Drosophila melanogaster: one gene and its partners. Changing the gene in region 1 together with any one later gene gives a genetic interaction. Each region holds a gene or a part of one and is shown in the gene's direction. Other genes may lie near its edges. The genes, in order: Mkp3, PTP-ER and tay.

Region 1 (9,654 bases):
TAACTTTTGCTCGCGTGGGCGCTCAAAGCCAACAGATTCTTTCACATCTGCCGTCCCGACTCGTCATCCTTTCTTCTTTTTTAGCGTCCGGTGCAGATCTGATTTTTTAGACATTTTTTAGCACTGGAAACAGATACTTCCCAAGAGGATTCACATTCTACAATGACGAATTACTTATCTTCAGATGAGGAGGGATATCAGTTCGTATATGGGATGAATCTTGGATTTCTTGTCAATCTATGCATGCTATTTGATATATAATTATAATTATCAAATAGTATTGTAAAACGAAAAACTTTAATTGCATTGTTGCAGAAATGTTAACTTATATTTATATTTTGTCATAACTTGTTAAATTCGTGTTCATTTATTAATGTCTGTTTTAATCAAAGCTATTATTAAATGATAATTTAATTTTTTATCACCGTTTTTGGCTACCAATTTGAACCAACACTTGTCTGGAACGACGTCATCGGAGTGCCCAGAATCATGGAGATTGGGAACATATGTATATATTGAGATATTGAGAATCTGTGAGATACTTCAGCCTCTTCGCTCTGGTCAAACGTCAAACGCACATTGATCGACGATTGTTGATCGACCATTGTTGATTCTAGAGACCCGTGGCGCCCACCGACATCCGCTGTTCATATGGGCGAGTGATTCACAGAGATCTCGCGGAACGGAACTCTGGGGGCTGGACATGGATATATGGATGTGGGCTGGATTCGAGAACCCAATTGCGAGTGTGAATGCGAGTGTGAGTACACACATTTCAGAACGGGCGAAACGGAAACATGAATGGCAGATAAGCGGACGCGCCAATTCTTAATCCCATTCCAGTTGTTTTAGGTCAGTAAAGCAGAATGCAAAACTAGTGTGGGAGAATGCCGTTGAGCTAACTAACTGCATTTAAGAAATAATTATATTGCTTCAGCTAGTTAATAAACGTCCAAATTATTAGAAGGCAATATTCATCTCGTAGCAATAATTATCCTATACTCATATGAGTTTTGTAACTATGAAAAGGTTTCAGCACAGCGATAACTAATAACTTGCTGGGAAATATCTGTTAGAAAGTATACGCAGTTAATGGTCTTTCTTGATAACAATGAGTGGAAAAATAACACCAGATAATGAATAAAACCCTGCAAAGCTCATATAAGTAGTATCGCACATTGCGAATCACGATGATCCATATTTCCCCCATTTCTCAGAACTTTTCACTCATTCAAGCCGATATGGCTATGACTGATCTATACACGCACCATATAAAAACACTCGGGAAAGCGTCATCATCTTCATATTGATTATACGTGGGGTCTGATAATCAAGGTAAAGGCCGTAGCTTGCGCAATTTAGATTGACAATCGTGAGGTGCAGAAATTTAATTGAATTCTTCACTTTCGACATCAGTTTCCTGCTAAAACACAGATAATGCCCCAAAGTGATTCATTGAGCTATACAAGTGGGTTGGGTATTCCATTTTGGCTGCGAGCAGACTTTGAACTTGTGTCATCGAAGAATGGAGCCCGGAGGACGACCGACCTTGGCTTCTACACTGTCAGAAATACATATATGTATCGCCAAGGTCAGCCCACCAAAGACACTTGGAAGGCGCAATTGAGCAGCCTTTTGAAACAGCTATCCAGGTGCTTACTTCTAATTTCTTCATACTTGAGTGATACACTGACAGTAATTATGTACAACTTTCGATGAATACAAAAATTAATGGTAATATGTGTGTTTACACTTTTGTGTTTACTGAAGCGTAAATAAATAAATGCTTAAATGATTTCATATTATAACAAATATTTCTTAGTATTATATATAAATATATATATATATTTTTTGTGTGTGTTTTTATTATTAAAGAAATCCTTTTGAAGTACGCATGTTTTCTTTGTATTGAGACTGCTGAAAGAAAATGTAATTTATTAAAGAGCCGCTCAATTTTTCCCTGTGCACTCCCTTGCAACATTCCGGCTGGCCTCCCACGCGCCAGGGCCGAAAGCAGAGTAAAGTCCTGGGGAATAACGCCCTTGGAATCTCAGGAGCCGCGTGCCAAGACGAAAGTGAGCAGCGAGAAATGCGTGGGCTGAGCATGGATTTCGTATGGCCGTTTCTTTCCCTCGCCGACTGTCTCCCTCTCTGTCTGCTTGGCTTTCTTTATTGCTCCAACGGTTTTCGCTGCTGCGTGGGACTTTCATTCATGAAAATTGTGCTCGAAAGTCGTTCGTTCGTACATCTGTATATAGTAGCACGTTGTGATGGGCCTTACCTAACGGTATATGGTGTGTATGGGTGTGCGTTTTATGTAAAGCTAGTGCAACGCAGGCGCAGCAGGAAGTTTGTTGTTTGTGGAGAAATTTTTGCACGCGCCGCATATCCTTGAAATTGTCCTTCCATGCGATTTCTGTATGGGTACACACGTATATCCTTGTGTGAGTCTCTTCTTTTTGGGTGTAAATATCAGGGTCATGGTTATAAAATTAAACATTTCATCGAGTCTCCAATATAACTGGCTCTTGGAGGAGCATTTGCGCAGGAGCTTTCGTTAGAGAGTAGACAGCGACTCCATTGATGATTCCGATTCTTCTGGGCTCCGTAATTTCTTATCTGTCTAAATTAGTGGTCCATTAACTTTTGCACTCTAGTGAAGTGAAATGTTAACCGCGCTCTCGCAAAAAGAGAGTAACAATAAAGTAGGTTCCATCGCGAAGGGTAAGGTGGGTGGTGGTGGGAGTAGTGGGAGAGTGAGAGAGAGCTAGTTTGGATGGCGAATTCAATGAATCAACACGAACACACGCATTTTACTTGCCACACGCATACCACAGCACAAAAATATCAATGAACTTTACACAAAACTTTGGGAGCGTATGCAGCGTGGAGAAATAGTCAAAGTGCCAAAAGAGTGCGGGAGAGAAAGGCAGGTGGGAAATTTGAAATACGAACCCAGTTATGAAATAATTATTTAACATACGGGAAAATATGATTATTTAATATATTTAAAAAATTTTATGTAATTTATAGAATTAAAACAAAGTCTTTACTTTATCTAAATTTTATTCAGGAACTCTCTTTGTATTTACTTTTTTCCCCATTTTTTCTCCTTTTTTAACCGAGCAAATTTCCAAGTGGGTCTGTGCCTGTGCACTGGCTCTTGCTCACCTTTTGGAGAGTTGCTCTTCTCTCCGGTTCGCGTACCTGTGTGCGCGGGTGCGTTCTTCCTTTCATTGCGTGTAACGGACTGTTTGTTTCGAAATAGTAATTCCCAAATGTATTTTTTTAAACGAGAAGGCAAAAAGATTCAATATTTTATAAGTTATTTCTTAATACTGCGCCTAACAAATACAATATTGTTATTGGGTTTCGCTCTTCGAATTCCGACGGAGAGAATTGGAGAGTCGGAGAGCAAGTGCAACTGTGTTCGTATTTTTGGAGAGCAACGAGGCTATTTAAGCAACCCACGACGCGCTTATTTTGTTATTGCCCGATTATCTTTTACCCGCGCTGCTTGTGTGTGCTCGCTTTCCATTCGAAAAAAACATCAACTCAAAATATGGATATTTGATAGAAGTAATTACCTATTTGTTTGGGAAATATTCAACGGTTTTTGGATGTTTTAGTTACTCGATGACAGGTTCACCGCACGTTTTTTCATTCGATTCCGAACTGTTGTTGTTGTTTTAGCGAAGCACACCTAAAAAATACAAAACCACTCACACACACGCGAAACATACACACGGTTGTGATTTGGCGCGCTCTTGTGTGCGTGTGTACATACAACAAAAAGCAAAAAGCAACGAATTTCGGTGTGCAAAGAAACATAAATCGGCAAGCGAGGAAATCGGAAAGCCAAGAAACAAAAAAAACAAAACAGTGCAAGTTACAGATTTCCCCAAACGAGATAAAAACAAAAATTCCTTTTTGATTTCCAAGATTTTCATCTGCGCGGGAGTGTGTGTGTGTGTAACAGCAACAAATACCATTGCACGGCCAAGAAAGAAGAAGAGAACCAGCGCGAAGCAGAAGAAGAAAGATGATGTAAACTTTGTTGTAACCAAAAGAAAAAAGAATAACATAAAAAACGAGTGAAGCAGAGAACAGAGCTAAACGGGAAAAATAGTGGCAGTGCTTCGAATTCTTCCAGTCTTTGAGTGATTTTTTGGGAGCTCTTCAAAATGCCAGAAACGGAGCACGAGACCTGCAGCAAGGAGTGGCTGCAGTCCCAGTTGCGATCCCTGGACTCCAAGGACCTGATCCTGTTGGACTGCCGCGGCTCGCACGAGTACAGTGAGTCGCACATCCGCGGAGCCGTCAACCTATGCATACCCAGCATCGTCCTCCGTCGTCTGGCGGTTGGCAAAATCGATCTGGCCTCCACGATCAAGTCGCCCGAGCTGAAGCAACGCATCCAGTCGGGCTACAAGCTATGCTGGTTCATCCTCTACAACGGCGAAGGCGTGCCCGGCCAGAATCAGGAGATCGCCGGAGCCGGATCCCTGGCCGTCGCCATGGACTCCATCATCAGCATCCTGCACCGTCGCCTCAAGCAGGACGGCTGCCGCGTAGTTGCTTTACAAGGTGAGTCATAAGTTCAATACTTTGGGTGCCCCAAAAAATAGAACTACAATATCATAATACAAGTGCGGGAGTTACTAAAACCAACTAAGGTTTATATATACCTCTCAATTCCCACATTTAAACTCACGTAATTAATCTTATAAATATGAATACTATCCATGTTGATTTCATAGAATATGTACATATTTGAAATATTAAAGCTTCAGTAATAGAAATGACTAAGTAAATCATTATAAACATAGTAGAAAACCGAAAAATTTCATCCAAAATTTCCCCCCTTAATCTCGTTTGATTAGAATGTAATAACTAAAGTAGTAATATTAAGATTTACATTGTGATATTCTTGGAATGCAATGAATCAATATTACGAATGGAATTTTTTGTTAGTTTACTACGCACCTGTATCGAGAACGGAACTCTCCATTTGTTGATCATAGCTGTGCTATCGGATTCTTTAAATGCCTGATACTTCCCAACACCGCCCATAAATCAATGCCGCACATTCCTATCCTAGGCCTAAGAATATCATAACTTATTTATACTTCCCCAATGTTGTTTGCGGCATTTTTAGCCCGAAACCCCCAAGGAAGAAACCAAAACAAAACAAAACAGCCGAAAGAATATTAATAATACAAGCAAGCACTGCCTGGCCATAAATAAACATTTGCATGGATTTGTTATTGTTTTTTTTTTTTTTCGTTTTGGCGAAACAAGGCAAGCATTCTGGGGGCGGAGACAAAATGACAAATGCAAAAAAAAAAACTAGCAAAATATAATGTAATCCGCACAGCTGATAAAGCTAGCGCCAGATTAGAATTATATTTAGTCTGACTGATCCTGTCCTCCTCCTCTCGCATTCTGATTATAGACATACACTGCATAGATTTCACCTTTCTGAACTTGTTTTTGGTTGACACGATTTTGTTTGACTTTGATAGAAAATTATAATGGCAGGAATTTGTTAGTTTATATATGCTGTGTCTTTTGTTTCCTTATCACAATTGCATGTAAGCTATATTAAAACTTGCGCAAAATATCAATCCAACCATATCGGCGGATATATATGTATATGTAGTTATACCACCCCGCATGCCCTTCCAATTATGCACTTTATTCTGAAACACTATGCCCCTCCTTGATTGGCCCATATCAATTAAGGAGCGATTTAAATATAAATGTGTTTTCAAAATCGTTTGGTATTTTACAAACACGTTCGGAGATTAAGGAAGTCATAAATAAACATCACTGCTGTCGATGCTTTTGAGGTCTTTCCACTATTGTTGGCTACACATTTTCTTTGTGCTCCCGTATAGATTTGTGTCATTCAGAAAAATGTCACAATTGCTTTTCAGCGACTCCGAGGCTCGACTCCCATGACTCAAAGCCACATAAATTGTCATATATACTATATATGCTATACATATGCTTATTTATGTATGTGCTGCCCTATATGCCTGTGCACATAGTCGAAATATATACATAATTATCTGACGACTGACTATGGCTTCGTTTTTATTTTTATCACTTCAATTTCCGCTCGCTTACAAGTCCCACAGAACCCCGTGATTGTTTGGATGTATGTACATATGTATGTACATATACACACTTTTTTGCCGAACAAGCTTTACGCACGTTCTCCTCTGCCATTCAAATGTTTTCTGTTTCTTTTTTTTTTTTGTGTCTGCCTGCTAATATCGCAAATTGACAATAGAGCGTCAACAAATGGACCGGCTTTTCAGCCTCCCAACTCTCTCACCCCACCACCCATCTCTAAGATACTTTTCTTTTTGTACCGATTTCATTTCGAAAGATAAATAGAACTTGAAAGGCCGTGGAATTAGCATAACATAAGGTGCCATCTCAACTATGACGTCAAGCCGTGGAAAGAGATGGCACTCTATGGTGGGAAAGAGATCGCTGCAACGAAGCATCCTGTGAAAACTACCTGTGCACAGGTAATTAGGAGAATCGGGCCGAAACATTTTACGACCGGCAATACCAGGGAAACACCCAAGAAAGTTGGAACCTCTTGACATTCGCCAGATGAACAAAACGAAGTTTTGGAATGAATAGTAGGCGAAGGTGGAAAGATAACAGCGTGAAAATCCAGTGTCACCTTTTCAGGGATTTCATTGTTTTTCCGGCCTGCTGAAGTGTCCGCTTTGTTCAGTCGTTTTCCTTAATGATCCCGAAATGGTAAATGAATTCTGCGACCTCAGGCAAGAATTTTGAATGGAAACATAGCCGAGCAACCGATTTTTATTGCGTTTCCCGAAACATGCTCGATAAACAAACTCAAATTCTCAATTTGGGCAAGAGCGACTACTATTTTCATAATTGTTTAAACGATTTCGTGAAATGATCTGGAAATAATGACTATATCATCGCCCATATTTAGTTGGCTAAATTCAAAATCAATTCCGCAATCCGTTAATGATTTTGACATTTTAGTGGAAGTCGCTGGGCCGACTTATCTAATCACATGAGTGGGTTTGGGGTTATTTGCCATGCAAATGCACAAAAAGCAGCTGTGTAGAGAGGAAGTTGTGGCATTAGTGTGGCATTAGTTACGTAGTGTGTATCGGAACGGGGAATATCTATAGCTATTGGTTGCGATTAGAAATGGGGCAGGAAGTTTGGGCTGGGAAGCAAGCGGAACTGGGTCAGGTTGGCTAAAAAAGGAAGGAAGTCCAAAGCGGAAGACGGAATGGGGATGTAAATAATGATATATTTATTTGCAACAAACTTGGGGCAGAACATTCTTTCTACTATTTGCTTTCTTCTATTGAAATTGTTACACGGAGTTTATATATTAATTATTACTTTGCATACGGCTAACATCTCCTCACATTGTTTTAATAGGTTATTTATAGGTTTTATTTATTTGCTTGGTTGCTTAATAAAGTTAATTCCTTGCGCTTGCTCTTTAAGCAAATTTCGCTGTTTTAGTTGTTTAGTTGTTTTATCCATTAGGCGATAAAAGCCACACAGTGTAATCCCTTTTCTTGTTGTGACCAACAGAAAATCTCCGGCTAACAACCGCCAAACACCGACGGTAATCAGCTTAAGCTGGCCCAGCAAAGTTCTTACCAATCTCGGGTACAATAAAGTTTTTCCCCCGACTTGCCACTAATTAACCTTGAAATTCAATCAAGTCCCGGCAATTATGCGCTCTTTGTCAGCCAATGATGCCGTCTCTTTCGACGTCTTCCTTTTTTTTTTTAGTTCCAGCTTCAGGACATTATGAAGTCCCTGGGCAGCATGAAAAATGCATAATGCATCGCGGCCATCGCTGGATTCGGCTTCAACTGGCGATGTAAAATTCATTTTAATTAAATGCCACTTTGTATGCATTTCTCGGAATTAAAACAATTAAGATGGGGCCAACTGGGGCACCAACTATATAGGATAGAATGCGACATGTGCGCACAGAAAGGGTCACGCGAATAGTGGCACTCGGTGTATCTGTAGTTCAACAACTTTAAATTTCAGATACTGAGATGCTATGCTGCAAGAGATTTATATATTTAGTTTAATTTCTAGCAAGTTAGTATTTTGAAAGTATGTGCGGTGAAGTATATATGTACATATATGCTCATGGCTTTAAACTGCAGTCTGTGTATAGTAAACTAAGCATTTCCGTCGACGGAATTTAATTCAATTAGATCTAGCAGAGTTCCGAACCGCATTTCGTATGTTGCTGTGTTGTGCTCTTGTGCTTGTAGTTGTGGTGATGGTGGGTTCTCTTCGAGGGAGTCAATGAACGAGAAGAGATGCACCTCTCTCTCTCTGTCTCTCTGGAGACTGGGAAAGCGGCAGATCGGATCCGCGCGTTGAAGGCATCTCGCGGCGAACTCGTCTGCTTTATTTTCTTTCTGCCTTCTGCCTTGTTTCGTGTGTTTTTATGGCCAGACGGATACAGAGCCGCACTCTGTTGGCAGCCGACCCTTTTATAGAGATTGAACCCGAGCTGCTGCGCATGCGCCATAAAAAACCACTTTGCGTCGGGCCGCCCGGCTGCATTTCCACTGGCTTTTCCCAACTGGCTTTTCTCCTTACTCTCCGATTGGGAGTGTTGTTCGCCTCATTTGCTGTTTTTAACGAATTTCGTTGTTGCCGCTTTTTGTGTTTGGTTTATTACTATTTGGCCTGCGACGGGTCGGCTTTTGATATTGTTTTTGGGCCCTGGTTAAATTTCTTAAAATGTTTTCCACTGCACTGCATTTTCTCCTCACCAGTGCGAATACACGAAATGCAAGGAAACTCCAGTGAAATAAACTTAATGAAATACCCTTATCATAGTTTCTGAAAAACAACTTGGTTATCATTGTAGTCCTTTTTTTCTATTTCCATTTTAATGTAGACGTAATCAGAATAGTTGAGCTTATCGATGTCTGACTGTAAAACCAAAGTAACACGTGGCAAAATCCCAAGGCCAACCGAACGGACCGTCTCTCATTACGATTTCATGATAACTCATCACAAAGGCGGTGGCTCCCTCAATCCACCTCCCCCTCCCCCTTCGAGTTTTCTCGTCCCTCCTCGGCACTCCATCCTCCCAGCCGCTGCTCTTCCATTGAGGCAACTCTGCCAACTGGTCTGCCTTCACCGAAAAAAAAGCTCAACCACAACAAGCAGCTACAAAAAAAGACAGTAAAATAACTGAGAGGCTGAGACAGTTGGCCCGGTTGCCCACCTACGTGCCAAAAAGCCGTTGGGCCAAATTTGTCGGCGGATACAGTGGGCTAGAATGGGTCACGGAGAACATATGGCACACGAATATATTTCGCAACAAACAAGTGTAAAGCACTGCAATTATTATCGACTAGTTAGGCAATTTTCAAATGCATTTTACATCTTGGTTGATTAGGAGTATTTTAAAGTACTATTGCTAAACTGAACGCAACCCATTTAGAAAGTTTTTCCGTTAACAAGGGACTTCTTGAAAATATACTAGTATTTCTTGTTATCTATCTTTACTATGCCTATCAAATGACCGTTTTTCAAAACACCTATTTATTTTTTTAACTAATGTTTTCGGGGATCCTTTTAATTAAAGCCCATCTG
Region 2 (12,007 bases), on another chromosome or scaffold:
ATCTTGAGTTACCGTCTGAGCTGCTTCTATCGAAGTATTCCAGCACATCAAAGTCGCCATCGTCGTCGCCATTGTCGGAGCCGTCGTCGTCGTCACTATCGTCATCGGAGTCCAGCGGCTCTCCATCATCGTCGTCCTCATCCAGATCTTCGTCATCGTTGTCCGAGCCATGAAGGTTACGAAGCAGGGGGAAACCCAGTAAATTTTGACCTATAGCAAAAGCTAGGGAGTAAGGAGATTTAGCAACGGATTAAATGATTATAATCAAAATCAAACTTACTGTTCTCGGAGCCCGTATCCGAACCGTCCTCATCAGATTCGGGCACCTCCTCATCATCTTCCTGCAAGCATAGACATAATATTTAGTTCAATATCATCCATGCGCCGCATGAGGGTTCTCAGATCTATGGCAGCGCCGATTCCGACTCCGCCACCACCATTAAGATTCAGATTCCCATTCCCGCCACTGCCATTGCCGCTGCCATTGCCACCCAGTCTACGTGCCCGCCGTCGCACCCCAACAATTGAGCTGTTGGGTGCATGTTGGCGAGAAAGATTTGGACTTGCTTGCGTGGCGGGACTTAGCCGGCGTAGCTGATCCTCCTCAAAATCGTTGGGACCGGCGGGTGCAGCGTTTTCCGCCGGCTGTGGGCGCTCCTCGGGTGGCTCCTCGAAAACCCGAAGCAGCGAAGCATCGCCACCATCGTTAGCGTTTGCCGACCCCGGCGCCACTGCGTCCGATACCTCGCTGGCCAGCTCCTTAACCGCACGCACCTCTTCCGAGCGCTCGCTCTTTTTAACGCCCACAGCGTAGATCTTCACGTAGGTCTCCTGTTTGGACTCGTAGCCACTGTAGTCTTCGACCACGGCGATCAGACTCCCGTTGGCGCTGACGCTCAGATCGTTTATGTTGCGTTTAACGTCAATGGTCGCAATGCTCGAGTAGTCGTAGGCGTCCAGAACGTTGAAACTGGTGTCGTAGGTGGTCGTCTCCATGTCATGGTCCCTATCAGCCCCCAAGCTAGCACCGTAGATTACATGCATCGGGGAGAAGGTGCAGTTACGCTGGTCTAGCACCGGCACTGTCTGCAGCAAATGAAAGGTGCGCAAGTCCCACACCTCGGTATTGGCAATGATCTACAAATTGTGTTGGAAATATTAACATGGTATAAATAAATCAACACAAATTTCGACTGTACCTCCAGACAGTTGGGATGGAAGACGCCTGATATGCACTGATTAAACTTGTCGAACTTGTGGATCTCCTTTCCGGAACGCACATCCCATAGAACGCCATCTAGGAATTCGATTCAGTTACATTTCAGGTAACTTTATACTTATAAATGCATTTATGTAATTACCCGACAAAATCAGCTCATCGGTTCGGCAAAGAGTTGCTCTGTTTTTGGTGTAGAGATTAGGTATGGTTGGCGTAAACGAGGCCACCTTGGAACCAGTGTTTATGTCAAAGAGCGTGGCGCACTGTGAAAAAAAGGTGAATTTATTAGTTGAAACTGCTATAGATCGTAAAATAACTCAAATTAGTATACCTCATTCTGGGTGCCCAACAAACGATCCTGCACCGTTTGACTGAACTCACAGTACGTGACATCGGGAAGTCGCAACTTTAGCTTGAACTCATCGTCCGCAATAGACCATAGAATGCTGGTGGGTGTGCGCCAGAAGCTAGATGTGATGACCAAGTCTCCGGCTCTATTAGCCTTAATAGCATCAACGCTAAAGTTGTGACAGTTGGAGAAGAACTGCTCCACGCCATCGTTCATGTTGAACACTCGTCCGTCGCCCTGCTGCGTGCCCACAATGATGTATTTACCCGCCAAATCGCAACAGGTGAACTCTAGGTCCTCGTAGTCCGCCGATCGAATGCTACGCCATGGTGAAAAGTGCGTGTGCACATAGCGACGGTCAAAGCGACTGGTATTAAATCCGGCTTGGGTTCGAGCATGCCGACTAGTCAGGTTGTAGTTCGAGCTTAGCAATCGGCTGGGCTTCGGATCTGGACACTTGTGCGGCTCGTACAAATCAAACTGCGGGCAGGTTGTCACCGGATTATTGCACAGCGAGTGCTGGTTGGTGAGGTATTCCGTTACGATGGTATTTAGGGTGATCCTCTTGGGATGCAGTTGACCATCTTCGGCAAGACCAACTGACATGCCACCAGGCTCCATTGCCTGCTTCTGGATAGAGCGGCTAACTGAACTTCTATCCGTCCTCCTTATTTTTATGGGCGTCTGCGTTGTGTTAAGGGAGCTAAAATTTGGTATGCTGACTCCATCTCCCGCATTGCTACCACCGGCTCCTGCCGGCGAGGAGTCCTCACCAAAACTTCTGTTTAAGTCTCCATTGCCCATTATCGCTGCGTTCACATCTTGCATGCGGCTTCGCAGACGATTTCTAGACAGCGAGCTACTACCACTGGGAAGACTTTTGTAGTCGAAAGGTGATTGATGAAAACTGCGCGTAGTGGGAGTCTGTAGCGGAAGACCCACCTCCCGTTGCAGCATTTGGGCTGTCTGGGAGAGACCGTTGCTTTCCAGGTGCTCGAAGATAAGCTGATACAGCTGCTGCTTGTTATACTGGATGCGTGTCTGGGCGATTACATTGGCCTTGTGCATGTTGGACAGCGATGGATCCAAAGGATTATTTAGCGGTTTCGTCTTACCCGACACTCGTTCTAGCAACTCCAATGCGTACTTTTGGAAGATTACATGTTCCGCGCGCTTCTCCTGGAGTATGGGATCCCGCATCAGCGTCTGGAGTTGTCCGCTGGCAAAGAGTGGAAGCTTGCTGACGATCTGCCTGACCCGATCGGAGCGAGCAAGTCCCGCCAAGGCCCTACAGGCCATTCCACGTATACAGTCCGCATCCGTAATGGGTCCTTTGGTCTGCATCAGCGATAGCAAGACCACAATGCCATTGTTGGAGCACACGGACTCCCACACACGTTCAATCAGCTCTTCGGCGTACTTATGGTTGGCCTTGTTCTTCCTGGAGGACGTTCCAAACTTAATCAGGCTGGTGCCGCTGTCCTTGCGAATGATCGGAGAGCAAACACAATGGCACAGCACCGCTAACGCCGATTTGATAACCTCTGCATCCGAGCTAATCTCTCCTGCAGCAGCGCCCAGAACCGAGCAAAATCCGGAGGTAGTTGTCTTGTCTAGCATCAGCAGGCGCTCGCAGAGCACAACATAAACTCTTGGGATAATACAGCATACGCTGAGCACGTCCAGAGCCGAGCGCACCGTCTCGGAGCGTCCACTGTTCACCCAATCGTAACTGAAGGCGATGATCCTGAGTAGCATGGTGATTCCACCAAGCTTCATTAGCTGATCCACGGGTTGCCAGTGCGCCCGGATAGAAGTGTGCTCCTGGAGCGTGCGAATCTGGTCGTTCAATTGGTCAAAGGTCAGTTTGGCAGCAACCGTGGGATTCTGATTGAAATAGTGGGCTGATGACGGTGCCGGGGATGCCGCATTTGTTTGGCACAGAAAGCTGTTGTACTTGTAGAAGAAGTGCGCCTCCATATAGCGCTTGAGGGCTACGCAGACGTGGCGCACCATTTGTCGGGAAGCACATTCTACGTCTTCGTTGAAATCAGAGTCATTATCGCTGTCGTTGTGGCTCGGATCAAGAATTTTTAGTACGGAAATCTATTAGGAAGAAGTTAAGGTAATTGACTTTAATCGAACTTCTTTCGTTTAAACCATTTACTTACGACATTGTACAGCTTTCTTAAACCATCCTGAGCATCAAACTCATCCAATATGACCTTAAATTGGAAGCTCAGACTGAAGAACATGGTGGCATGGCACTTTGAGGAGTCGTGGCAACGACCCAGAATCCAAAGCGCGTAGCGAACTAGTTCTGAAATAAGTGGTCTTTGCATACTGCATATGCGTTCCATGGCGTCTTCACAGTATGCTAAGTAGTAGATGGCGATGGACACACCAGTAGTCGCCAAACTGGGGCGGGGCACTTTTAACAAAAGCTGTAAAAAATAGTAAAGTTAAAAATAATTACATTCCCTCTACAAGACCATTTACTGACCTCCAGTCCACCGTGTGAAATGAACTCTAAAGCAAACTTCTTGTGGCAAAGAAGGGAAGCCAGATACTTCAAAACTTCGTAGGCCAAGCAGGTGTCCCGGCGATCCAAGTTCTCCAGGTAGCCAAAAATTAGCTGCATCACATTGTTTTCGAAAGCCATGGCTAGGAACTCTTGATATTCGCCCAGGCTGGTCAGGAAGCGCATGATTAACATTTGGCTGGTATCTGCTGTGGCCGGGTGCAAAGGAATGTACATCCGTTTGTAATAGCGAGATACGGAAAAGGCATCTCTGCTGTTCTCGAACAGAATGGACATATTAGAGGCGTCTCCATGCTGCGAGGAACTTGCTCCCAGCCCACTGCCATTGTGCTGCGGCGATTGAGGAGCCGATGCATTACTGGCGCAGGCCACCCAGCTAAGCATGCCCGCCGTGCTGCTGTCAGCCGACAGATTGTGCATCGACGTATTGACATCTGAAGTGGCGCTCTTGCTGATCGCCAGGAGCATGTGCAGACGCTTGATCATCTTTGGCACCAATCGAATATTAAGATCGCGAAAGTTTATGGCTATGTCGCTCACTTCCATCGCTTCGGCTAAAAGCCCGGTGGCATAGCTCTGAAGCGGTTCAATGCTGTCCTCTGCCCAAGAGTAGATGCGATTGATGGTTCCATCGCCTTCGGCGGTCTGAAATACTGCAGAGGTCTCCATTCCTGGCATTATCTCCAGAATGAGGCGGCAGGCCAAGATGTTTAGTTCTAGAGAACTGCGACTGACATTCTGGCGACTGAAATAGTTCTCTCGCAGGTAATCGTTGAGGAGCTAGTTAAATAAAATATTTCACTTTAGTTAGCTTATGTTTTGGAAATTCTAAAACACCTGATTTTAAGAAAACATTTACATTGCTTTTTAGAAAAATAAAAATCACATGACTTTATTCTTACTTTGCCCATGAAGGTATCCTTCCGAAAGAGCAGCTTGAGTAGCAATCCGTACTGGCAGCTGGGATCGGCTCTATATGGATGTCGTGAGTCCAAGGGATCCGGATCCTTGCGCCGATACACGTCCTTCTCACGCTCAAAGATCTCCGCAAGGCTGCGATAGTAAAGGTATTAAGTTGGACCCATGCGTTAATGATTTTGAAGCACGCTTACCTCCTGAGAGTGGGCACTGGATCGTATCCATTTTGGGTCTGCTGTTGCTCCCACTTGTCGATAATCTGGGTGAGCTCCTTCTTGGTGGCTTGGCGACGGTCGGCGGCAGCGGTTTCCTCGGCGTTTCCACCGCTATCGCTTTCGTTTTCCGCATTTTCCACGCTCATGGCGTCGTCAGCATCAGCGTCTTCGTCGGCCTCTGGTTCCCCCCCATCCTGTTGTTCAGCGGCGTCCTCTTCCTGGTTATCGCCAGCCTGCTCCGGCATATCCTCGGCTTCTGGCTGCTCCTCCTCGTCGCTCTGGTAGGCCACAGCCACAGCTTCAGCCATCAGTGCCGCTTCAGTCGCGGCCTCTGCCTCGGCCGCAGCCTCTGCTGCGGCCGCATTCTCGCTTCCGCTGCCCTCAGACATCGAAATGAATTACTGGGTTTTGGATGCACTAGGTCTTGATCCAGTGGCTTTCTTTGCTAGATTTTCGACACAGCGAAACTTACTTCTAATGGCGAAATAAAGCAAATAAATAAGGTATTAAATACCACGCGCTTTTCGCAAAATTAGTGTGGCCTTTTGCTATTGTCGTTGAAATAATGAAGTCAGCTGTCGCACAAATTTGTTTGTTTTCGTCTTTCGGCAAATTAAACCAATCTAAAAGGTCTTTAAATAAGTCTAAAGTACACAAAAGGATTTAAATGCCTAACTCAATTAATTATTTCCAAGCAAATGCACAGATAAAAGCGTGCCAAAGAGCAACGTGCAACTGTGAGGTAAACGGAACGGTGGTAATAGGAACACTACGTTGTTGCTTCTAAATTGTTCACAACTTTGTAGTGATTTCATAAACAAAAATACAGGTAGGTTGAAATACTATTTAGAACTAAGTCTGTGATCTTTTACAACAATTTTTCTGGATGCATGCAAAATATAATTGTCTGATACCATCTCAGTTGATCGATTGAATTAACTATCGCCCGTGTACAACATCTGCATTACAAATTCTGCAACTCCTTGATGTAAACACTAGATCTGTTAACCTATTCTTTCTTTTTATTTTAAAAGACACTTGAAAAATGCGGTTAAATTAGGTACAACGTTGCCAGGTCTTGGTGCAGTTAGTCTGCGGCCTGGCAGCACGGTAAGCAATGAAGGCATTGCCGGATCGATTACATACGCGGTCTGGTAGCCCTCCATGCTTTAGCTCTGAAAATGTTGTGAAAAGAAAACGCTCTTTTCCCCATGATTTGCGTCCAATTCGGAAGTGCTAACTGTGCGGGCGAGATAGTTATAATGCCGATCGAGTGAGGACAAGACACTAAACGGGCGGAGCGACTGCGCTGCGATCGCCCCGCTTCAGCAATTGTGTGTGTGTATCATGGACAAGCTACGAAACAACAACAAGGAGAATGCACCCATTGAGTACCCCTACCCACAGACCCCCCGTCCCACCCACGCCGCCCCCTCCGACACGACCCCACTTGAAGCTGGCGAGGATGCGGAGAGCAACAAGAGTACACCCTACTTTACGCCCCTCGAGTACCTGCAGACGTCCTTCGAGTTTCCGTCGCCCACGGTGGAGGTTGGGGGCGGGGTTCCGGGCTTTCCCGAGCACGAGGATCAGGAGGAGGAGGTCTTCACCCCCCGGCAGTTCACCATTACCAGCCCCCATCCAGCAGCCCACGTCCACCATCCATCCAGCTCACAGTCTCCCACTTTAGGCCGCAAGTTCAAGAGGTTATCACAGTATGATCGCCGATCCTGCTCGCCGCATATTAATACCTCCAGCGGCGAGGAGCGGGTCAGTGGCCGTGGCATCGACAAGGAGAACACTATGCCCAAGGGCGGGTCAGTCGACCAAGACCTAGAGAACAGCTTGTACTTGTCGAAGAGCGAGCACAACTCACCCACCATCCTGTTTAAGGATGAGTCCTCCACGACGCCGGGACTGGAGGCCAGTCGCCTAAGCTACTCCCCGAAACTACTATCCTCCATCAACAACCTAAACGTGTCCGGTTCACCCCTGAACATTATTAACTCGGCCGGCTACAAGAACGGCAACTTCTTTCGCTTCCCCGAGATCGATCATGTCGTGCAGGATGCGCCCATGGATACAGTCTGTTTAGAGGAAGCTACACGTCGGGATCGTAGTCCTGCGTTGGCCGAGCCGCCGGAGCAGCAGCAACAAAAATCGGAAGGGCGAAAGAACCGCAAGAATAAAAATAATCTCACCATTCGCATCACGGACGTGCCCATAAAAAACTCGAGCCAGCCATCACCATTGCCCAAGCCCAAGACACCGACTATCAAGAGCACCAAGGAGAAGGCCCGCTCGCTGGACTCGGCTGCCAACGAATCGGAACTGTCAATCGTGGTGCACAACATAACCGAATCTCATGGCAGTTGTGATGACATGGAGACAGGACAGAGCCAGCCATCGACAAGTGTTATCCACCATCACCTTCATCTTCAACAGCCCGCATCCGCTATCCACTCAACATCGCTCTCGCGACTGGATAGTCACCTAAGCTTGGCCAATCAAAGACGAACGCCGCGCAGAAAGTCACCAGGAATCAACACCACTGACTGGCTTATGTACCACCGCAAGCAGAACCCATATCAGGTGCAACCGACACACTGCAGCTCCACGACACAAAGCTCCTTGGACTCGGACGCCAGTTTAACCCCCAGTTTGGGGGACTTTGAACTGAAGTCCGCCTGTAGCGTGGACGGTGGCTCGAAGTTTGGAATAGGCGCAAGCCTAGCGCCGAGAAGCGCCCACAAGCACAATCAGTTACTGCACTCGTCCAGCACAAATTTAAAAACGCTTCCCGAGTGCCTTACCCTGGTGGAGTTCTCCTCCTCTGGCGGTGGTCCTAAGGAATCGCCTTTCAAGCAGAAGTCAATGGATTTGCCGATGCCGACACTCCAGGCAAAGACCACAGTGTCTACATCATCGATGAATCTCCTTCAGCGTCGGGGATCCAATCACAGTTTAACGCTCAACCTGCACAGCTCTTGTGGCAACCTAATGAACAGTGGACTAAGTCATTCCAACTATAGCCTGGGCTCAATACTCAACTCCAAGTCCAGCTGCAATTTGGATGCGGGAACCGCCAGCCAAATTCGAGCGGATCAATTGCCACAGTCACATCTGCTGGGAAGCAGCCAGGGTAGTCGGCAGGGGTTGTTCAGGAGGCGGGGATCAAATCACAGTATCACCCTGAAGACGGGGCACACTACAACATCGTGTGGAGATCTAAACTCCATGCAGCAGCTCCAACAGCAACAGGCAATGTTAAGTGCGGAAAAGTACAACCGACTCAATATGCGAACCAATTCCACCGGCTCGGGATCGGGCTCTGGATCCAATGTACCTACTCCGAAACGAGGACTTTTAGAACGTCGTGGCTCCAATCAAAGCCTCACTCTCAACATGGGCAGCATACTGGGAGGAGCAGCAGGTACCGAGATCCAGATGACGGACATCGTGCAACCGAAAGTCACGGTTTGCAGTTGTGCTGCCGCCAACCAAGCCCCGCATCAGCGCAAATTCTTTAGCACTGAGAACTTGAACAGCAGTAAAGCCAATAGCCAAAAGTTCTTCGGGCAGGTATGTTTCGGATCCGCCTCGGACTTGCAACCCAATCCTCAGCAGGATTCGGTGAGGGAAGATCAGGCCATTGGCGCGACGTGCACTTGCGCTGGCACCGTACGCAACATTATGACCCGTCCTCTGTCGCCCCAAACGACTAGCGAGGAGTTCAAGATCTACTTGGCCAGCATACAGATGCTGCAGAGCGCCTCCAATCCACTTAATCAGTTTGATCTTATCCGGCTGAACTACGTGTTCGATCACAGCTACCAGACGAATAGGAACATCATAGAGCAGCCGCCGGTGCTGGGCTCCAACGCACGGGATGTGGAGACACCCACGGATATGGTGCCCCCGAGCTCGGAGGACAGTGAACTGCTCGCGTCCTACCAGACAGTGGTTAGTAGGATGGCGCAACCAATACCGGAACTGAAAGAAAACGAACAAAAGAGAATCTTTCGGGATCTGCACAAGGAGTTCTGGGACCTGCCGCTCAATCACCAAGAGAAGCCAATGGTCTTCGGCTCGCAGACAAAAAATCGCTACAAGACTATCTTGCCAAACGAGAACTCTCGCGTGCTACTCGAATCCGAGTCCAGCGAGCTGACTAGCTTGCTGGGGGAAATAAAACGGACCAGCTCCGTGACCGCTAGCGAGGACTTGCCCTACATTAATGCCAATTACATCAAGGTAATGGAACTAAGCGCAAATCCAATGAAAGTAATGTATATATTTCCTTCATTTCAGGGACCCGACTACGTGTCGAAGTGCTATGTGGCCACGCAGGGTCCACTGCCCAATACAATCTTCGAGTTCTGGCTTATGATATACCAGAACACGCAGCGCTACATAAGACGGTGCGTGGATGGAGGCAGCAGCAGCAGTCCTCACGTTGACAGGGAGCAAATCCTGCAGCAGTACTTCCAGAAGATTGTCATGCTCACAAACTTCACGGAAGCGAACCGGCAGAAGTGCGCCGTCTACTTCCCCATCGAATTGAATGAGATCTTCGCGGTGGCCGCCAAGTGTGAAGTGTTTCAGCTGAGTGCGGCTGCCCGGGATTACTTCGATCGGTATTTAACGCCCACCTTTGTGCCGGACACTGTGGTGGCTTCCTCGGATGCGATCGACTATGAGATAAGTGGCCGGCACATAGGCGTGGAGTCGGTGAAGGTGACGCTGGAAGGGGATCTGCTGGAGGCTTTGCCCGCCCAGGGAAGCTTCTTCCTCATTAAAAACGTCGGCATTGTGCGAAGAAATGGTTACTCGGTGAGAAAGCTGGTGCTGCTCTATTGCATTCGTGTGCCACAGAGTGCTAGCTACCACCTGCAGAAAATCTACTGCTACCACTATTGGTATCCCGACTGGCCGGATCATCACTCGCCTCGGGACATCAACACGCTGCTGGACACCTGCTTGCATGTACTCAACCTTGGAAAGTGTGAGTCGGAGTTTGACATCTACGATGACACCAGGAGCGAGAGGAATGCCCACCTGGCTGCTCAGCGGCTGGAGATCTACCAGCAGGACATCTTCAATGCAGTCCAGCCCCTTCCCGTCATCCACTGCTCGGCTGGAATTGGGCGCACCGGTTGCTTCACGGCCATCCTGAATGCAGTGCGCCAGTTGCGGCAGTCGTTGGCCTACTCGCTGACAGGAATGCTCACCAAATCGCTGACCAGCAGCTCGACAGAGGAGTACCATAACCCAACGGACAGCGACAGCAGTTTTACTTGCAACACCATCCGGCACATCAGCCACATTCTGGATCATCGCGATGCGGAGGCGGTTAAGACGCCGCCATCCTTTGACCGTCTGCCCAAGATGCCGGACATTTTCGTGGACGTCCTGGGCATCGTTTGCAATCTTCGCCTGCAGCGGGGCGGGATGGTCCAGAACTCGGAGCAGTATGAGCTCATCCATCGGGCCATTTGCCTCTACCTGAAACGCACACTGGCGTTGAGGCGATTTTAAAAGCGAGCGAAAACCATGATCAACAACTTTTTGACGACAAAACGATGGAGATGAAGAACAAAACACCAATTTACTATTTGTAATCACAATTTTTGTGGCCCTTATTTTAATGAAAGCAACCGCGACGGACAAGCAACAAGTAAAACAAGAAACCATGGCTAAAAGAGTCTCGAAAATGGAATATGATGGCATTCTCCGAAGGAGGATTGACGGAATGCTTTCAATGTTTTCTAAATATTACTATTACCACATATTCTACATATATATAAATGTTTATTAAGTGTTGGATGTATGTGTGTTAAATGTGTACATAAGTGTAAATGTTTCCGACTTTTGGTGTGAACTATGCTTAAACTAAAGTTAATTAACAATTATTATACCCTACCTTACCTTACCAAAACCATACCTTACCATAAAGATGCGCATCTATATATGACTCGCGACGTTCGTCGACGCCCCTCGGTGAGTTGTGCATCCTGCTTGGAGGCGGAGAAAGCTCAAACCTTTCTCAAGTTGGATCCTTCCCTGGGTCCTTCTGACTAAACACCAATTTCTCCAATCCCAAGCGGACAGCTCGACCGCCGGACGTGGACCAAAATACGGACACGAGTTCATTTAAAACACAAGATAAAAATTCGATAAGTAAAATGGAAACCCATAAATGAACATGTATTTAAGTTTATGCAATGGAACTAGTCAAATAAAAATTAGAAACATTTTAAATGTAACCTTAATGTGTAAAGTTGGCAGTTTTATTTTGTTGTTCTTAACGTTTTTAAGTAAAGGGAAATTGCGATGAGTTACTTTTTTGACATTAACAAGAAATTCTCCAGTACTCAAAATTACATCTTTTAATTAGAGCTTTAAGTTAAAGTAAATTAAATGTTTATATTTTCTATTTACAACTTGAACTAATTGACGTCGAAAATCACTCATGCAGCACCAGCTAAGGGTTAAGCGCCTCAAACAGCTGATTTCGACGAACAAAGTTCAGTGTTTCAGATTCAGGTTTTGAGATTGCCGAATAATTGCCGATTAGATTGTTAAGGAAACCCGTAACGGGCTGATTTCACAATGCTTCTTCGTCCGTGTGGAAGACTAATCTTTACCAGGTTTTGCAGCAGCATGAAGGTAATGAGTGCGCTTCCAAATCGCAACAAAATTGTTCAATTACTTGTTTGTAGGTGAAAGTGCCAGTGAAACAAGGCGTTTTGGTGGGCCGGCAA
Region 3 (9,532 bases), on another chromosome or scaffold:
GAATCGAGACGGCACGTCTAAAAGGTGAGCTAATAAACTTTGGAATTTACATTGCAATTACATATGTACATATATTTTGGTCCATTACCATTGCGCTTACATATATTTACCACTTTTTTTCGGAATACCGAACCGCTTTTTTACATAAAATCCGAACACGAAACGCATATTTATTAAATGGCAGTATACACAATTCACAGGTTGATGTACAATATTGTAACATTCAGTGCATAGCGACATCCAGTGCAGCAAGTAAATTAAGCGAACAAGATGGATTCCAAAGTGGGTGCAGATCCTAGTTCGGCCTACGACAAGGAAATCGGCAACAATCTAAACAACGATGATTCCTCATTTCTGGGCAACATAATCCGCGAAATCCTGTACAGTCCAATGAACCTGGCCCTCCTGGCCATCATCTGCTTCCTGGTCTATAAAATCGTTCGGGATCGCACCGAAGTGCCATCCGTGGGCGTTGCAAAGCCATCCGAACCTGAGTTACCCAAAATCCGACGCGATTTTACCGTGAAGGAGCTTCGCCAGTACGATGGAACTCAGCCGGATGGCCGTGTTTTGGTCGCCGTCAACGGAAGTGTTTACGATGTCAGCAAAGGAAGGCGTTTTTACGGCCCAGGTGAGTGCTAGGCTATAAATATTTGAATTTAAGTTGTTCCTAAGCTTACAGTATAGCATATACCTTTAGAACTATTTTCGATTGATCTATTGCCGATTATAAGGAAGGGATTTTGGTATTTTGGTATGTGTTTCATTGCCAAGATCCCATTATTTATATCCCTCTATACGATGTCTATCTATAATTGCAATGCTACGTCACAATATTGGTTTTCCTGATATCTGTAACTCTCTTAATCGCATTTAATTTCTGTGGGAGGAGATATTGCACGACATATGCTCATATCTCTGCTATATTTCGTCATTTTTTTTTGCGCTAAGATTAACAGCTTATCAACAAGAAAGTTTTCGTTTTGAGATAACGCAACTATCTAACCAAATTCAATAATCAAATAATGCCTACCAAATGTCGACTAGGTGTTTTTATTGTTAAGCATGAAATGCAAAAATAGTTCACCATGATCGTCATTTTCATATGAAATAGTTGTCGTCCGCCTTATCAAATCGAAATACTTCCTAATGTAAATGCCTTAATTGAAATGTTCAAAGACACCAAACAGAAACCAGTGGCATTTCAACAACGGCTTGCACTTTTTCCTTAAGTATTTTAACTAAAAGTAACGAGTGCGAGCAAGATGCACGACACTTGTGACGTAGATGCGCAGAAAAGCCTTAAGTTGCGCACTTGATTGTATACTATCTTCTATCAACGGTGCCGTGTTCCTGATGACCAGACTGCTGACTCCAACAAACTAAAACTATATAAATATTTAGATAGTAACATATGATGATTCTCTGCTTTTCAGGTGGACCCTACGCAACTTTTGCGGGTAGAGATGCCTCGCGAAACTTGGCCACTTTCAGCGTGGTTTCAATTGACAAGGATGAATACGATGACCTGAGCGATTTAAGTGCCGTGGAAATGGACTCTGTGCGGGAATGGGAAATGCAGTTTAAGGGTAATTAAATCATATATATATATATGTATATGCTCAGATTCATAGGTAAACTAACGTTCTCATTATGTTATTTAGAAAAATATGAGCTGGTTGGTAAGCTATTGCGCAAGGGCGAGGAACCAACCAACTATGACGATGATGAGGACGAGGAGAATGTTAACAATGATGAACAAGAGCGAAAGAACCTACCCAAGTCGAAAACTGAGACTGATGACACCAAACAAGAAAAGGAAAGTCACATTTTGCAAAGCAATGTAACAAACAAAAATAACGCACAAGATCAGGCCACTCCTTCTACCGACTGTTAGCGAATCGGGTTTTTTGTTTTGCTTTTGGATGTGGCTGTAATAGTTTACTTTCGGTTAGAAACACAACAAAACTAAATAGCATTTCCGACTCTTTTTGATGCTGCCTCTGCTCCTTTAAAATCGAGAACAAGACCTATTTGGAAAACATTTAAAGAACACGCCCCAATTTGAACCGTACAAATCAAGGCATTAAATTTATCGTGAACATTTCAAAAGAATTTAAAACAGATAAAATCGTTTTTGAATGTTATTCTTAGAGTGCAGCCTTGACAAAAGCTATAGTTGTTACTATAATTCACGTTGTGATGTGATCTTGTTCCATATATTATAGTCGTATATTCATACAAATGTAACAAACGGAAATCATAAAATTATTTAAGGAGGAGGCCAATGTGTGGAGGGTATGGGAGTCATTTTCGTGGCAATATAAATTTAAATGTAACTATATTTGAAATACAAATTAAATACTTAAACGTTCAATATCTTTATTTGGGAGGTGGGGGAATCCTGAACTGCAAGAAAAGCAAAAAACAGGTTTTTTTCCTAATAATGGATTTTGATTTATTCCATTTGTTCCCAGTATTTTTTGAAACCAACTTTTCGCATCTTGTTATCGGTGTGAAACGCCCGAAATCGCGGCCACCAGTGGAGACTGGCCGCTACTTCGATAGTTATCATAATGTTATCCCCTTGAAAATGATTTTCTGCAGCTATCGAAAATTTGGTCCGTCTCTGAGAGACTATGTTGGTTCTTTGTGGTTAACAAAATTTTCGGAAAATAATATTGGATTTTATGTAAAATATACATAATAGCCGTGATGACAGTTAGTTTGGTAGCGATGCTTATAACGCGTTGATGCACAATCGATCGTTTTGGCCGTTCGTTGTGCGTTCGGTGTGTGTGGAAAATGTAAAAATGTACGAACAATCGCATACAGTTCACAAAAATTCGTCGTCGTCGTCGTCGTATTTGTATTTGTCGTTGTCGTATTTTGTATGTACGTATGTCGCAATTAGAAAAGTGTAAGTGTGAGCGAGATGACACTATTGTTTCTGTTTCTGCGCTGCTTCTGCAAATCTTTAAGAGAAAAGCCAACTAAAGTTCTGCGAAAGAGTAAAAATAAAAAAGAAGCTGCTTCAAAATGTTCTCTTTAATTAAAAAAAAAATTATTTTATCGTAATTTTATTTGCAAAGGCAACGGTGTGAAACTCTGGTTGAATGGTTTGTGCACTCGCTAGCGGCAGACTTATAGACGGCACGAACACGGAGGCATAGAGAAAAAAGGCCGAAAGAAAGAAGGAAAGCAAGAAAAAAAGCAACAGCAAAAGCAAAACCGAACTGGTGTATATAAATATACATACGTATACTCGTACGAATTTATATGTACGCATGCATGTACGTACATATATGTGCATACATATATTTCAAGAAGAAGAAGGCGAAGAAGCAGCAGAGGAGGAATACGAAGAAGAAGAAGAGTATATGACGAATGATAAAGTGCTAGACAAAATAAATATGGACTATTTTCGGTGAATTCTCATATCGGCTTTATGTTATTTATTTTTTTTATTATATTTTACATCTGTTCTGATTTGTGTGCAATCCCACTGACCCGAAAAAACAATAAGTGTTTGTTGTAAAAAAGAAGTGTGCAGAATTAAATATTATGTGTGTGTGTACAGAAAAAAGCGCAATAGGGAAGTTGACTACAAGAAAAAGAGCAAACGAAATGAAAACAACTTGTACAATTATTATTTTTAACCAAATTAGTGACTCTAATCAAATATGTTAACCGGTCGGAATGTGAAAAACCCCACAGTGGCCACCAAATAACAATATCACGTAAAAACAGTCGGCGCAGCATCGATTTTTTCAAAATACACGCGATTGAATCGGCCGTAGTAGCACCTTAAATCCAATATTTGTAAAGCTTTCTCGCCTTATCGCTGGCATAGAAAACCCCTCCTTCCAAAGAAAAAAAAAAAAAAAGTAAAGAAATATAGATAAAAATAATAGTCGAATGCATTGGAAAAGGTTTGGTCCAGATAGCAATATACATAATAATGCTCATCGATAATTTGTATTCCCAAGGAAAAGGAACTGAAGTGTAATCCACTGGAAGCTTTACGTAGCAAAAGAAATGGACACATCAAATGCCAGCGCTAAATCAAAGACGTCTGCGTCGGGCAGCAGTAGTATTAATGGAATAGGATCCCAAATCAAGCATATATCATCGTCGCAGGACATCGGATCCTCCGTTCCCGCTGTCCCAGTCCAGGATGAGAAGAGCGAGTCGCACTCCCACTCACATTCACACTCCAGCTCCAGCTCACAGTCGTCCCAGTCGCAATCGCAGTCACAGCCACAGTCCACAGTGCTCACGGTAGTGGGCCAGAGTATATCAAAGAGTTCGACCGGCGCCCTGGCGGTACTGCATCTTCCTCCGCCGACGGCGACCGCCTTAGTTCAAGCAAGTGCCAATATAGCCGATCTGGGCTCCATGCCTCGTGCTCGGCCATCGTTTGTATCGAACACCTCCTCGACGGCGGCGACGACGACGACGGCGACGTCGGCATCGGATGGCGGCAAAACCATGGCCGTGGCAGCGATTCCCCCGGCATCACCTGTCTCCATATCGGAGCCCACCTGTCCATCTGTTTCGACGGTATCGATGGCTCCCAGTGCCTGTGACTTTGACTCCGACACGGAACTCTCGATTGTGGCAGCTGCAGCGGCCGTCTCCGCCTCAGCCGGCATAGATTCGCGATCCCCGACGTCTCCTCCGACGGCGGCGGGATCCACAATAATGCCACAGCTGAATTCCAGTGCGGGAGGCACTGCTAGCATAGCCGGTAATCAGTCCGGCTTCGGAGCGGGATCAGGAGCGGTGGCTGCTGGGAATACCAATGGCCACAGCACCACCTCCAGTAGCAGTACTCATCTGAGTCTGAATGCCAAGCAACAGCGCCAGCAGAAACGCCGGAGGGAACGTGCCCAGCGTTTGCAAGCGGAACGCGACAGTCGATGCAATGCCAACTCGCTGAGTGGCACCTTCATAGCCGGATCCTCTGTGGGGGTCGGCAGTGCCATGAGTGCGGCCAACGGTGGCCAGGGAGGTGGAGTTGGCCTCGTCACGCCTAATAGTAGCGTCGGTGGCGGATCCTCGGCTGTTGCAATGGGCAACGGATCGGCGGCAGGACCCGGCAACAATGGGATGATCTATCACATCAACAGCGCTGGCAGCATGGGCGAGGATAGCAACAATTCAAATGGAAATTTCACCAGCAGCAGCAATGGCAGCAACAATCTGCTGCCGCCCACAGATAGTATTGCATCGTTACTCCTAAATCCACCACATTCCCCCGAGTGCAACTCGGGATTGATGGCCACGCCTAGCGATAGCGAGGGTGAGTCGCTGGACGAGGATCTGCTCTCGACCTCGTCCTCGTCCACACTGCTCTTGCCGCGCGACAAGCCACCGCCTCGACCACCACCTCCGGTTCGAAGAAAGCTGCCACGATCTCCGGTGCTCGAGGAGGAAATCATCGATGGATTCGCTATACTGGAGTTTAAGACATACGAGGATCTTGAGGTAGGTTTCGTTGCCATTTCATTTCATACGTGCACGCAGCCTACTGTAATAATCTTTCTTCACAACAGTTTGCCATCAAATTGGGACAGAAGCGGAAGGAGAAGCGTCTATCCGCACTGGACGAGCTAACTTGTACCTACAGTATAGAGGAAATGAAAATCCCAAAGGTTATAGATACTGGTCAATCGCAACCGTTGCGTGTCACCAGCCTGTCCACTTTGACTGTTAACAATAACAATCTGAAGGAGAACCCGCAGCCAAGCCTTCATCGTGATCGTGGCGGCAATGTCATTAGCAACAATAATAACAATAACAGCAGCAACAACAACAACAGCATGATCAACAGCAATGGCCCCAACGCGAACAGCAATAGCAGCAGTTTATCCAACGTGGTCTACCTGCTGCCATCTGTGAACATGGTGGGCAATGTTCTGGAGACGGAAGCCGAGCCCAGGGATCATTGGCGATCCGAATATGGGCAGCAGCAAGACCAATTGCAATCGGACAATAGCGCAAACAGTAAAAGTAATAATAACATTAGTGATGATAATCAAATTAACAATAGTAGCCACCAAATAAACCACACAACCAACAACCAATCGAGCAAGCAACAACAGGCGGCGGACGGTGGTTGCAATGCGGCAAAAATGCAAGTGAACAACAGTGCTACTGTTAGTACTCGATTTTTGGAGAACGACAACGATTCACTGATGTTGGATATCAGCCTGCCATCGCTGGGCGTTGGTGGCGCCGTATCGCATAGTCATGACCACATTGACGTTGGTGTGATTCACGCCAGTTGTACTGGCAGCAGCAGCGACACCAAAAAATCTCACAATTCCCCCGCCACGAGTAACACTATTGACCAATTGCACGTAACAAAACCGCTGCCCACGCACCAGCTCAATAATCTAATATCAAGTGATCTTAATGCCGCCGCAAATGCAAACGCAAACAGTAATCACCTGGGTGTCTGCAAACTGGGCTCGCAATCAGCACAGGTCGCAAAGGTGAGTCCACCTCAACTGTCCGATAAGATGTTATTTACTAATAGTTATCTTAACTCGTTGCCCAGAAGTCGATGGGTTTGGAGAACATTGAAACCGTGACGAATTCAGCGACCTGCCGCTCCCTGGATATTCAGGAGCTGGCCAATGTTTCGGCGCAATCCTTTGGGGCCAGTAGCAGCAGCAGCAGCAGCAGCATTAGCATAAAGAAGGAAAACGAGCAAAGTGATCTTTTGAACGATGTAAGAATCCATTTCTTCAACGCAAAATATTTTGTTAAAACGAATCTTCTGTTAATGTAGGCTTCAACCAATTGTAGCAGCAACAGCAAAGGAAATAATATCGTAAGTATATGGCAGCATTTTCAACGAATATGCATTCTAACATTCTTTTCTTACAGTGTGATAATGTCAGCAATGATAAAAAGGTATGTCCTGCTTCTATTCTAATCTATAATATTGAAATCATTTACTTTGGTTGCACAACAATTGAACTAGGGGACGCACATATGTTCTGCATTTTATTTATAATTAGGATTAAATCATGGGATTAAAATGTCTGAAAATGCCTCTAATTGCGCAGTAATAAGTACTCTTCTTATGTCCAGGAAGGACGACATCCATTTCTTAAGGCGTCCCAATTATTTCTATCTCATTCTTTTTCACTGCCAAAGAAATAGTTGAAGCGAACAAGCATAGAATCCCTTTTATAAATGGGTATATTTGATTTTTGCTATAAATATAAAGGTTAGCTTTAAGTATGAATTTGGGCTTTTATTTGTGCATAAATCTACAACGACTCGTTTTAATTGCTCGTTAAATGAAATATACTCTTTTACTTGCAGAATTCTGAACAAATATTTGATATTGACAACCCCCCAACGCCCATGAACATTTCAAATACTTCTTCGTGTTCGGATCGATCGTCTTCTCGCAAGTTTTCCGAACTTCCACACCTCAAGAAAAAGAGTGCGGCGTGTGGAGATAGGGATAATGGCCCATATGCCGGAGTACCTTTTGCGGCAGCGATGGGCACAGTATCTCCGGACAGCGATCCAAGTAAAGCTTTAAACATTAAGAACGCATCGGAGAGCGCATCGGGCAAGGCGGTCCATGCCCATGCTGGTGCTCCGATTCCACCACCACCTGCGGCCAGCGTGGGCGATCCTGGGAACAGAGAGCTGGGTGTGCTGCAGAAAACCTCACCCGACAAGCCACTCTATCCCAACTTGTGTGCTCCGCCATCGGTTTCGTCAGTGCAAGTAAGTTAAGATATGCAATAGCCAACTTGAAGTGTCATCTAATTGTTGTATTTATCTTTGAACAGTTCCCCAACGTTGGTATATCAGCTGGAAATGAAAAAATTGCATCAACAGTTGCATCTGACATCGATCAAAAGATTATTTTCAACAGCAAGGCAACTGCTTCAGTTTCGAACGGCTTGTCGTCGGGGGTGCAACGGTCAATTGTTCCATTACTATCTGCGGCGCCATCGCCGGCTGCGGTTACTCTAAGCAGTCCGTTTAGCGCACACATCGCAGCTGCACCGAATGCTGCCGGATTATCAATACTAAGTTCGGCATCGAGTGTGATTCTAGCCAACAGCAGTATAAAAAACACCAACAATGGCAGCAACAATGGCAGCGCCAATGGCCAGGGACAACTGTCTTCGGTGGGATTGTCGAGCACTTCAGAAATTGCGAAAAGTAATTCGGTACCAACGACGTCCTCACCCCCCAATCCCATGGTCAATGGCTTCCTTAGTGTTTATCCGCCGCCTGCTGCTACCATTGCAACGTCATCCGTAACTACAAGTGCGTTGTCACGCGTCTCGCCCAACGCAGCCAATAAATTAGTGCCACCGGTCTCCGCCACAACATCCATCTCGATAAACACAAACTATGTTGGTATTTCTGGTGGAACGACGACAACTTCCGGCATGGGAAAGGTGGTCTTCGGCGCTGGCGGCAATGCCATTGTGGGCACAGGGTCTCCACTGCTTTTTCCTGGCGCACCGCCCGCTCCCATTTCTCATGTGGCCACTGGCGTGCCGATGATCATCCAGGCGCCGCCATACCGAGCACCGTACACGAATTACCCTCTCTACACTCCATATAGCGGCCTTACGCACGGGTCATACCTGCCTCCAGTATTGCCGGTTGCCACGCCCAACTTGTCCAACTTACCGCCCACACAACACCGGAGCTCGGATAGTCGCAACAGTCGAGAGTCGCCAGCATCCTTGAAGTCAACGCCATCGAATATTGGATTAAATGTATCCATGGCGCCGACCCTGCGATCCATCACGCCACTTAATAATAGCAGTGCAATTTCTAGCGGCGCATCGCAGCCCGTTGTGTCGGTGGTGCCTTCGGCGAACTCGACTGCCCTTTCCATGAGCAATCCACATATATCTCATTCCCATCATGTGCCTGCCTACGCTTCAGGTGCATTCTCATCCTCTGCGGCCGCTGGGACGAGCACCCCGAATTCAGGACTCTCTACACTGGCGGTTACCTCACTATCAACGTCGGCTGCTCCCCAACCGCACTCGCACTTCCCCCAGTCAACGCAGATGCTGCCGCAGAGCGGTAACTTTTCGTCAGTGTCCCATTTGCTGACCACGCACCCAATGTCATCGCAGAATCAGCCAATGGTTCGCTGCGGAAGTACACTATACTCACAATCGTCTGCGGCTGCAACTGCGCCGCCATCAGCTGCTGCTGCTGTCTCCAACTTCACGCCCTCGGTTCTCGCTGTGCAAAGTTTGACGACAGCGGTCACGTCGAGCTCGTCATCTCCATCAACTTTATCATCATCTGTGATCCAGAAGGTTATTTCCCCCAAAGGAGAGAGTCCTTGCAATAAAGATCGGGATTCCAGCTACAGGTGAGCGATAGCCATATACATTTATTGATATGCAGTTTGAAAATCAATCTTTACGTTTGCAGTACAAATATCAGATCCCATGGTGCGTCAACAATGCTGCCTGGCGCATCCCAAGGCATTGGCCTGGGATCGTCGTTTTGTGGTATC

What was found.
Region 2: of Mkp3 (region 1) and PTP-ER, changing one enhances a phenotype caused by changing the other (phenotypic enhancement), as found in Drosophila melanogaster (one study listed by BioGRID).
Region 3: of Mkp3 (region 1) and tay, changing one enhances a phenotype caused by changing the other (phenotypic enhancement), as found in Drosophila melanogaster (one study listed by BioGRID).

The regions. Positions count from the first base shown.
Region 1 is NT_037436.4:19,080,254-19,089,907, reverse strand, and holds the start of Mkp3 (Mitogen-activated protein kinase phosphatase 3), read left to right. Parts: upstream 1-3,481; 5' UTR 3,482-4,184; coding exon 4,185-4,587; intron 4,588-9,654. UniProt on the Drosophila melanogaster protein: Negatively regulates the activity of members of the MAP kinase family in response to changes in the cellular environment. Has a specificity for the ERK family.
Region 2 is NT_033778.4:21,618,821-21,630,827, reverse strand, and holds PTP-ER (protein tyrosine phosphatase-ERK/Enhancer of Ras1), read left to right. Parts: upstream 1-6,381; 5' UTR 6,382-6,590; coding exon 6,591-9,497; intron 9,498-9,554; coding exon 9,555-10,781; 3' UTR 10,782-11,507; downstream 11,508-12,007. Other genes in the region: mahj (mahjong), read right to left, coding at 13-222, 281-341, 775-1,137, 1,200-1,297, 1,362-1,482, 1,551-3,674, 3,740-4,012, 4,072-4,890 and 2 more; clt (cricklet), read left to right, coding at 11,856-11,912, 11,966-12,007.
Region 3 is NC_004354.4:15,880,401-15,889,932, reverse strand, and holds the start of tay (tay bridge), read left to right. Parts: upstream 1-2,621; 5' UTR 2,622-2,895; exon of another isoform or gene 2,896-2,920; intron 2,921-3,989; 5' UTR 3,990-4,038; coding exon 4,039-5,490; intron 5,491-5,558; coding exon 5,559-6,500; intron 6,501-6,565; coding exon 6,566-6,739; intron 6,740-6,799; coding exon 6,800-6,841; intron 6,842-6,897; coding exon 6,898-6,924; intron 6,925-7,341; coding exon 7,342-7,758; intron 7,759-7,823; coding exon 7,824-9,385; intron 9,386-9,447; coding exon 9,448-9,532. Other genes in the region: MSBP (membrane steroid binding protein), read left to right, coding at 271-631, 1,437-1,589, 1,665-1,897.